Linked DNA regions of Mus musculus: region 2 is reported to be linked to region 1. Evidence: microRNA targets listed by miRTarBase, many of them from high-throughput screens and not tested one by one. Region 1 holds a microRNA gene; the other region holds the end of a gene's coding sequence.

The links. The annotated mature microRNA mmu-miR-433-3p reads AUCAUGAUGGGCUCCUCGGUGU and lies in region 1 at 2,078-2,099, opposite strand. An mRNA with a match to its seed (bases 2 to 7 or 8) in the 3' UTR can be bound and repressed. Matches are read on the target gene's strand: a 7mer-m8 pairs with bases 2 to 8, a 7mer-A1 pairs with bases 2 to 7 and ends in A, and an 8mer does both.
Region 2: miRTarBase lists Tmem239 as a target of mmu-miR-433-3p. Seed matches in the 3' UTR shown: 7mer-m8 at 1,385-1,391.

What each region holds. Positions count from the first base shown.
Region 1 is chr12:109,588,664-109,593,879 of GRCm38, reverse strand. It overlaps Mir433 (microRNA 433), which reads right to left and starts at 2,165; the gene lies at 2,042-2,165. It overlaps Rtl1 (retrotransposon Gaglike 1), which reads left to right. Exons shown (of 2, transcript NM_184109.2): 2 at 1-4,687. The coding sequence ends at 3,711. It overlaps Mir431 (microRNA 431), which reads right to left and starts at 3,433; the gene lies at 3,343-3,433. It overlaps 6430411K18Rik (RIKEN cDNA 6430411K18 gen), which reads right to left and starts at 2,343. Exons shown (of 1, transcript NR_002848.3): 1 at 1,029-2,343. It also overlaps Mir127 and Mir3070b.
Region 2 is chr2:130,406,268-130,411,483 of GRCm38, forward strand. Tmem239 (transmembrane 239) reads left to right here and starts at 255. Exons shown (of 2, transcript NM_025753.3): 1 at 255-308; 2 at 443-1,527. The coding sequence starts at 457. The coding sequence ends at 912.

The DNA.
Region 1 (5,216 bases):
GACCTCGTAGAGCAGAACAGCCCAGTGATAAACAACTTCTCAGCCTTCCTGGAGGCCATGTCAGAAAAGTTTGAGTATCGGCAGACCCTGCGTGTGGCGGAAGACGCCATGTTCAACATCAGGCAGGGGAACCGCTGTGCGGCCGATTACATCAATGAGTTCCGGGGTCTGATACCCACCTTAGGCTGGCCAGATGAAGTCCTGCAGGCCCACCTGTGCCAGGGGCTCAACGAAGAGATCAGGCACTATCTGTTCCGGATCCCTCAGCCGAATTCCCTAGACAACCTGATTGTACTTGTCCTGCAACTTGAAGAAAAGCTGGCAGAGAGAAGAGCATTACTCAGGCTGCCACCTGAGTCGCGCCCAAGAAGCGTAGCCTGGATGGATGCTCCCGCCCCAGAGAAGTGGAGGGTAAGCAGCTGGCTGCCCAATGAGTTCCACCCAGACATTGATCGCGATCACCTCTTCTTACTGCTCTTGGTGAGAGTGGACCCCTACCACAGTGTCGCAGTGCGGGCCCTGGTGGACTCAGGAGCAGAAGGGAACTACATGGATGAGAGGTTTGCCCAGGAACACTATGTGGAACTCTATGAGAAGCCTTATCCACAGATAATCCAAGGTGTGGATGGCATCCCAATTGGCAATGAACCCGTCTGGCTGTGCACCGAGCCCCTGGTATGTGTCCACCAGAAGCATTATGAGTACATCGAATTTGACATCTTACCTTCGCCCAACTTCTCCATCGTCTTAGGCATGAAGTGGCTCCGAACCCATGCCCCTGAAGTCGACTGGATGAGAGGCCGGTGTACCTTCCACTCTCCCTACTGTCTGCGGAATTGCTTCACCCCACCTCCACCATGCATCGCACTAGAGACATACAGCATAAGCCTACTGCCCGGATTGCCACACACATACTCAGACCTGGCCGACGTGTTTAACCCGAGGGAGGCAGATGATGAGACTTCCGACCAGCCAAGCTCAGACGGATCCGATGATCTTTCTGAATCAGAGCCCTCTGAGCTTCAGCAGGCTGGAGACAGTGATCAAAGCGGCGTCTTTTACGAGTCTGGGGCCCGAGAGACTTTGGAACCTGTGAGCGCCAGGATGCAAGAGAAAGCCAGGCAGCAAGAGAAAGCCAGGGAGCAAGAGGAATACTGGATACTGTATGACATGCTGACTGACAGACAAGACTACACGCAGATGGTACCAGAGCTATTCGACCAGCTACATGGAGCGGCATGGTTCACAAAACTGGAGCTGCTTGGGATTAAGGAAAGTGAGATGAGGCACACGGTCACACACACGGAAGACACTTGGAGAGCATCGTTCGGTTTCGGCCTTCACCAGATGAGATGCTACCGGCCCTTCACAATGAACTCATACTCTGACGAAGGGAACAACATTGTTCACTTCATCCTAAAAGACATCCTAGGGTTGTTTGTGATTTGCCATGGCAGAGAGGTCCTGGTCTACTCAATGAGCCAGGAGGAACACTCCCAGCATGTCCGCCAAGTCCTGGTCCGCTTTCGGTATCACAACATCTACTGTTCACTGGACAAAACTCAGTTCCATCGCCAGACCGCTGAAATCTTGGGCTTCAACATATCCCCCAAAGGGGTGAAACTGAACAAGAACCTTATGAACCTCATCGTGGGGTGCCCTGTCCCTGGCAGCAGGAGGTGTCTTCAAAGTGTGATTGACCTTGTCTATCCCTATCGCCACTTCGTGGAGAACTTCGCTGTCATCGCAGCACCCCTAGTGAGACAACTGCTGAGTTCAGAGCCCTACTACTGGGGAGAAGAGGAGCAGGAGGCCTTGGAATCCCTGAAGAGGGCTTTCCGCAAGTCGCCCGTTCTCTATCACCCTAAGCCTCAGAACCCATTCTACTTGGAAACAGACATCACTGGGTCATTCCTGTCTGCCTCCCTGGTCCAAACCGACGACGAAACTGGCAAGAAATCTACCTGTGCTTTCTATTCAAGACCCCTCTCTACAATGGAGGTGGAGTACCCTCGAGTGGAGATGAGGATCCTTCCAATCCGGGCTGCCTTCATGGTGTGGTGCCGCTACCTGGAGAACACCGAGGAGCCCATCATGATCCTTCTCAACACAGAGGATCTAGCCTCTCTGAATAATGACAGGCTCACCGTACTTCTCCCCGGGCATTGGGTCTTCTTCTTCTCACACTTCAATTTTGGTGTTATGGAGATGCCAGCTGAAGGTGACACACAAGCACTCTTCCGCAGATGTTGGAACCAGAGAGGCTTCAGAGCAAGGTTTCTGCGCCCACTGCTGCTTATGTCCATTAGGGCAAATCTAAGGTACTTTGACAGATCCTCTGAGACTGAGGATAAAGAGGATGATGAAGAAGAGGAGGAGGAAGATGGTGAAGAAGAAGAAGGGGAGGAGGAGGAAGATGGTGAAGAAGAAGAAGGGGAGGAGGAGGAAGATGGTGAAGAAGAAGAGGAGGAGGAGGAAGATGATGAAGAAGAAGAAGGGGAGGAGGAGGAAGATGGTGAAGAAGAAGAAGGGGAGGAGGAGGAAGATGGTGAAGAAGAAGAAGGGGAGGAGGAGGAAGATGGTGAAGAAGAAGAAGGGGAGGAGGAGGGAGAGGAGGAGGAAGAAGGAGAGGAGGAAGAGGAGGAAGAAGAGGATGAGGAGGAAGAGGAGGAGGAAGAGGAAGAGGAGGAAGAAGAGGAGGAAGAAGAGGAGGAGGAGGAAGAGGAGGAAGAAGAGGAGGAGGAAGATGAGGAAGAAGAGGATGAGGAGGAAGAAGATGAGGAGGTGCCCAGCATGGTGCGGGAGCTACTGGCTGCCATCCCGATGGACCATATCCTCAATGGCTTACTGGCTCACTTCAGTGTGGCCCAGATCCGGGCCGTTGTCCTAAACTTCTTCCGTGGCCTGCTCTACTGGAAGAGTCTCCTGGGTGTGGCAGCTGTCCTGGTGATGTTGAGAGCAAGGCAGCCCCTCTCCCCAGTGCCTGCCCCTAATTTGGAAGTGGCCAGGCCTCAGCACCGGCACACACTCCGACTCATCCTGGACTCGACCCTCATTGCGAGTAGTGGCATGGCCACAGCCATCGCTCAGTTGCTCAGCCAGATGCCCCCTCTAGTGGGTGCCAACACCCTCCCAGCTCGAGAGCTGGCTGAGCTTTTCCTGGGCCCAAGGTGCTGGCATCGGAATGCTCTGCATTCCCAGCCTCCACGGGGGATGCGCTTCACCCCTGGGTTCTGGTTGACCCTGTGTGAGTTCTTTGGGGTCAGAGTCAACCCTGAGGATGACGTCTTTCCTGACCCTTACCAGCACCGGTACTTGGAACTGCACGTCGTTGGGGATGAAGATGTCGTCTTGCGAGAAGCCCTGCAAGACGACCTGCAACGTTACCGTCAGTGTGGCCTGCATGACGGCCTGCAAGACACCTCGCAGGACGCGCAGGACAACGACGTGCAAGAGGACCTGTTTGGCGACCAGGAAGCGGTCACCTTCAGACCACGAAATCTTTTGGACCCAGAGGTCCTAGATTTCCTCAACAACCGGCTACTCTACACCCTGGGCACCGATGGCCGCCTTACTCTGCTTAGCAGAGATCAGGTGGCCCAGGCCCTCACACGATTCCTGGCCATGGCCTCCAGAATGGCGCTGCCTTCCCCAGCCAGGGAACAGGCAAGGCTAGAAGAGCTATCAGACTCAGATGATGAACTTGACTGAAAACACACCAAGTCACTGTCATTTTCCCTTGTGCCTCGGCCAGCTTCGCTCAGATCCAGCACACCCTCTTGCTACTCCTAACCCAAGGGGAACCCACTTGTGAAGGGCCACAACTTCATCAACCAGCAACATCATCTGTGCTAAAGAACTAGCCAACTATCAGCGTCCCAGAACCAGCCAAGACTGTGTAACCCTAACTGTCCTAACTGTCCGGGCCCCAGGCCCACAAAAGGGAGTGAGACCAATGAGGAGAGAGCAGTGATGAGCAACAGTGACCCCGTCACCCCAGGCCAGATGCAGAGCAGATACAGCAGGTGCAGCCAAGCAAGCAGATGCCAGTGACCCCACCACCACCCCCTGAGTGGCAGGCGGCCACCTGTGCATCCTGGGACACTGACCTTGGGTGCTCCACGGACTTCTACCTCTACACCGGTGCTCCGACTCCCCTGGACACGCCCCTACTCCCTCCCAGTCTCCCAAGGTGCTGTGGTTCCATGCTTTCCACAACCCCAGCCCACCCTGCAAGCAAGTCCACCCCCCCCCCCACAACCCACCCACCCACTACCGGTCTGGTCCGGCTCCATTGACACCTCATCTGACCCTGAACTCTGATCTTACCTGGGCAGAACTGCTCCAAGGAGCATTCGACGTACCAGTGTGACTTACCAGATGGACTGATCCACCCTGAAGGTCCCTGAGACTCAGAGGACCCAAGAAAGGGTGGTAGCAACCAAGTGGGGCTCCCTTTTCCCTCCCCAAATGGACATATGGACAGTGCAGGGGACAGAGACCTTCCATAAAGGAGGGAGCCCCCAAGAGACACTGGTGAAGCCCCAGATACCCAGAGTACTGTGCCAAGGAGCCAAGAGTGCTCTGACCAGACCCACTGCTCACTGCCACAGGAAGGAGAGGTCCTTCCATTGCTTTCCCAACTCATACCTGCTTTTGCCCCATGAATAAAGAGAAGAAAAGATTATCTGACTTTGTGGTTTGTTCTAAAAGGGAGAGGGTGGATAGTAGGAGGCAGGACTGGAGAACATGGAGCATGGGGTCAGAAAGGATGGAGTGTGAAGAGAGGGTTGGGATGGGCAAGGGCAAGGGTGGGAGGGGCAGGGATAGGAGGGCTTGACTCTCCAGAAACAGCTCATGAAGACATGGAGCAACAGGCCTCCTGTCTTCTCCTAAAGGGAGGGAAGTCAATTCACTCTCAAAACTTTGGGCTCCTCTGGGAAATGGACCAAGGGTTTCATGGGGCAGAAGGAGGGTACCCAGAATTCCCAGCCCTCATCTGGTCCCAGCCCTCTAGTCACATGAGAAATGAGGAATGGCCAGACTGTGCTCAATGCCCACAGCTGAGGAGGGTCAACAGGCAGGATGTTTGAGCTTGGATCCCAGAAAAACAGTTCTTAGAACCCAAGACTGCATCCCTCCACGCCCCCTCCAGCCTGCACTGGGGTCACTGTGCCCTTATGGGTCCTAAGGGGCCTCATGACAAGGAATCTACC
Region 2 (5,216 bases), not on the chromosome of region 1:
AACCAACTCCAGCCATGGGGTTGGAAGCAGCCATCAAGGAGGGACAGGTGTGGGGAAGGCTTCCTACAAGAAGAAGAATGGTAGGCTTGCTGGGCTCTCCTGCTAGCCTGGAGGGACCATTAAGTAAAGGACATAAGTGACTCTCACACTATGCAGTAGCTCCTCTCTTGGCTGAGCCCCACCCCAGTCCGGGTCATAATGCACTCCTCTGGGGATGGTGGGGCAGGCGAGGGAGAGACTGGGATCTGGCTGCCAGGCCAGCCTAGACACAACAGGAAGCACCATGACTTAGGTGGCTCTGCCCAAAGGTAAGTCCTAGGCCCCAGTTCAAAGTCCAATCCTGCCCATGCTGGTATCCCCCTGACCCCTGCATGCCCACCTATCCAGAGGTCCTGGGCATCTTAAGGGCTGCCCCCTGCAGCTGGCCTGGCCCTGTCCACAGGTGCACCAGCCGTGATGCAGCAGCCACGAGTGGAGTCGGATATCATCGGGGCTGGCGAGGGGCCCCAGCGGGCAGTGCCCTGGTCAGCCTGGATCATCCGTCAGGACTGGGTGCGCTGGTGGGTATGCCACATACCTCGGAGCTGGACCCAGTGGTGGAATACATCAGGCTGGCGGCAACCACTACAGCGGATGCTGTGGGGTCTGGAGGGGACACTCTACCTGCTGCTGGCACTGATGCTATGTCACGCACTCTTCACCACGGGCTCCTACCTGCTGAGCTCGCTATGGCCCGTGGTGGCTGTGATGTGGAGCCACCTGCTGCCAGCAATCCTGCTGCTTGTGCTCAGTGCCCTGCCTGCTCTGCTCTTCGCAGCCTCCTTCCTGCTGCTCTTTTCCACACTGCTGAGCCTCGTGGGCCTGCTCACCTCCATGACTCAACCAGGCTACGCTCAGGACTTGGACCAATAGAAGGGCAACCCCATCTTACTGCTTGTGTCTGTTGAGCCCTGGCCTAGGGCCTGAGCCCCGTGGGGAGGGGGGCAGTGGAACTTCAACAGACCTCAGACCCCCCCCCCCCCAATCACAAATACAAGTGGGGGTCTGGCTTCTGGGCATCTACCTTAAACCCACATTGGTGTCAGGAACAGGACAGACAGTTTAGCCAGGAGCAAGAGCTTGGACCAACCACTGAGAGCACCCGTATGGATGTGGTAACATCACTTGGTCTTCCTGGCAGAATCTTTTAGTCACATCACCTCAGCCCTACCAGCTTCAGGCTTCCTGAGAATTTCCACCTACATACCCCTGGACTTGTCTGGATTTGTCCCGGATCCTCTCTTTCTACTTCCAGGAGGAACACACACTCTGGAATGGGTCTCACTGCCAGGACGATAGCTAGGGATCTCACCTCACTCACCTCTCAGAAATGGGAAAGAGGCCAATCATGATAGTGTGTGTGTGTGTGTGTGTGTGTGTGTGTGTGTGTGGACCCAAGGCTTTGTGCATAAGCATACACTCCACCCTACACACTCTTATTTTTTTTTTAAGAATCTCCAGGTCTGTTACAAAAAAAATCAAAGTCCTGTTTCAGCCTCCTACATCTTGGCTGATTCACTACTTTTGAACCTTGGTGTTAAGTGAGCCCCAATGCTTTCATGGGTTTGTTATGATCAAAAGTCAGTATCTATTTGCAAAATACTTTGCTGCTGTTGTTGTTTTGAAACAGGGTCTCATGAAGCCCAGGATGGCTTTGAACTATTTAGCTGAGGTGACTTTGAATTTCGGATCCTATTGTCTCTATGTCCAGGGTACTGGAATTAAAACTTGTGCCACCATGCCTGATTTTATGAAAAGTATTTGGTAAGGCCAAACAGCAGTTAAGATGTTTTGAGCTCTAAAAACATATAAGTTCAAAAGGCCTTTTGATTCAGAAGCTAAGAGATTAAATTTCTCTAGGCTTCTACAGAAACTCTGTCACTCATGGAATCCCAGCCCTAAAACAGTTGACACGGAATAGGCAGTGTGGTGAGATGTGCAAGGTGTGTGTCTCAAGCTAGGCAGACACTGGACTGTATGATCTGTGTAATGCTCGAGGCTGGAGCCTGGTGCCAGGGAACTTGTGCAATGCTGTGCTCATGGAAAAAGGAAAGCGCAGAGATTTGCAGGATTGATTAAGCAGGCTGCTTCCACCAGAGGGCTTTGGACCACCCAGGCTCCCCTGGCGTTTGGCCATTTACCTAGCGCTGAGCCTTCCAAACAAAGCTGTGAGTATCAGTTACCAAGTCAAGTGACAGACATGTTAGCCGATCTGCCCCCAGCTGGGGCCCAGACTTCAGTCCTCATCCACTGCTGACCTCTACCCAATCCCTGCTGCTTCCCAGCTCTTTATCTGGTTTAAATCTAACCTGAAAATCATTGCTTCTGAAGCCCTCTAAACACTCGTGCACCTTGAGCCATGGTTCATTTTGGCCAAAGCCTGACAGAGTTTTGAACTCTGTGTTCCTGGTAGACATCTTCATACTGGTAGATAGCTTCAGTGCCTAAAACCCCAAACCAGTGCTTCATTTTGTAGTTCCCCCTGCAGTGCGGCTGTGTGTCAAGGCCAGACATAGGGATGTTACTCCATTAATGATCTATTCCTCATCTGCTATCTGCTTCTCTCAATCTCTCTCTCTCTCTCTCTCTCTCTCTCTCTCTCTCTCACACACACACACACACACACACACACACACACGTAGTTCAGACTGTCCCCAAATTCTCTGTGTAGCTGAGGATGACCTTGACTTTTGACCCTCCTGCCCCTACCTCCCAAGGGCTAGAGTTACACCGATGTGCTCCCGTGCCTACTTTATTTGGTACCAGTGATCAAACTCAAGGTTTCCTGCATCTTAGGCAAGCGCTCTACCAAGTGAGCTACATTCCCAGCCTTGATAAGTTTTTCTGAATTTCATTTTCTACCTGAATATAACAAAGACATAGACACTTGCTTTGGGACATCTGGCCGTAATACACACACACACACACACACACACACACACACACACACACACACACACATACAAACACACACACACAGTGACTGTTTTTATTAGGAGCAGGATAACTACTCAGCACCAAGGCCAGGCTGTTTGAGTCCCAGAGCACTTTAAGAGGCTAGTAAAGAGAAAACCACATGGACTGGAGAAAATACAACTTAACTGAAAATCCTATGGCTCCTGTTAGAGAGGAAGCCCAGGCCTAATGAGTCTAGATGTCTAGAGTGCAGGGACTTCAAAGTTGTCTGTGGTGGGAATAGAGACTAAGATGCCTAGCCTGGACCATGTATCACTGGCCAGGGACATCACTGCAGAGACCTTGGGCCATTCTAGTTAAGAGGGGAGGAGGAGTTAACCAAGACCATATCCAGGGGGCACCGCGGGTGAGAACAACAAAGGGCTTTTTCACCTTTTCTTGAATCAAAATATACCTCCTGCCCCTTGACCTGCCGCTGTGGGATGGGGAGACACAGTGAAACAGGACCACAGACAGGCTGCCCTTACCTAATTAGAGGCTCTTATATTCTACAACCAAGAAACTCAAATTCTCACAGAGGGCCTTGAGGGCCTTGCTCTTTGACACATGGTTCCAAACAGTGCAGTCTAGGCCTCCCTTAGCTTTTCAGATATATAGCAACTCTGTGAGGCTGCCAAAATGACTCTATAGTTAAGAACACTTATTCTTACAAGAGAATCCTGGTTCAGTCCTCAGAATCTACATGTGCGCTCACAACCATCTGTAACTTCAATTACAGACTATATATCTGTGTGTGTGTACACACACATATGCATATATGTATATATACACATATGTATGTATATGTGTATATATGTGTATGTATATATATATGGGGGGCTTACATGTATCTGCACCATATGACTGCCAGGCATTCATGTGGTGCAGATGTATGTAAGCACGCATACATATAAAAAATTAAATTAAAAAAAAAGACTCTAGAGGGCTGGGGATGTGGTTCATTTTAGTGGAGTGTTTGCCCAGCATGCGGCCTTGGGTTTTATCCCTAGCACCACATAAACTTGGCAGTGAAGCTCTTGCCTGTAATCCTGCACTGGGGAAGTGCACTCAGGAGGAGGACAAGTTCAAGGCCAACCTTGGCTACATATCTAGTTTGGGGCCAGACTGTATTACATGAGACCACATCTAAAAAGAAAAAACAAAAAAGATTTTCCAGCTCCAACTTAGACTGCTGAGCCTGCATTTTCCAAGACTCCAAGGTGACAGGTGTGTTTTTGAGGCACTGTGTTAGGGCATGCAGTTGAGGATCGTATTGTGCTGTTGATGACGGTAATGTGGGAGGGAAAAGCATGCCGAGGAGGGGGCAATAGAAGGGGCAGAAGCTACCTGGATCAGTCTTGAGATCTTGGTATAAAACACAGTTCTCATTTCACACATTTAAAACACAGAGTGGCACAACAGTATTTCTTTTTGCAAGAACACCAAGAAACAGAGTGGCACAAAGGACTAGCCCCAAGCAAATGGAGTGGGATATCGTGTGAGAGCTTGCAGAAAAGAGAACGCTGGGCATGGCACACACCTTTAATCCCAGCACTTGGGAGGCAGAGGCAAACAGATCTGTGAGTTCGAGGTCAGCCTGGTCTACAGAGTGAGTTCCAGGACAGCCAGGGCTACACAGAGAAACCCTGTCTCGAAAAAACCAAAAAACAAAACAAAAATCAAAATAATCCCTGAAATCCCTTAAGTATACAAACCCGTCCACTTTGAGTTTAGAGGATTTAAAATGAAAGCAAATGGAAAACACACACACTGGAGTCAATGTGTCCCAAGCTTTTCCAGCTGAGCCAAGAGGAAAGAGGGGTCCCAATTGACCTGATGTCCCAAACCACTGTGTGAATATTTTTGCCCGCCCTTCCTGACCTCACCCAGTGTTTTGTGTTTTGTTTCTGATGGGGTTGGAATGAGGGGCTGGGTTCTACCAATGGTTTGCTTTACCCAGAAAAGATGGTCAGGTATGACTCAGCTGATTCATACCAGTATATTATCTTGATACTGAGGTGCGTGTGTAGTACATGCAATATGACCTTTCTATCTCTGCCTCAAGGACTAGGGAGAAAAGGACCTAGAAGGATCTCTAAAGATGGTCAAAAGGGAAGGTACGCACCTAGGCACTCATTGATGCGCACGCCCGGCTGAGAGGGACAGGCAGGAAAGGCGTCCCTGGAAGGAAGACAGGCAGCGCCTGAGAAACTTACAAGGCC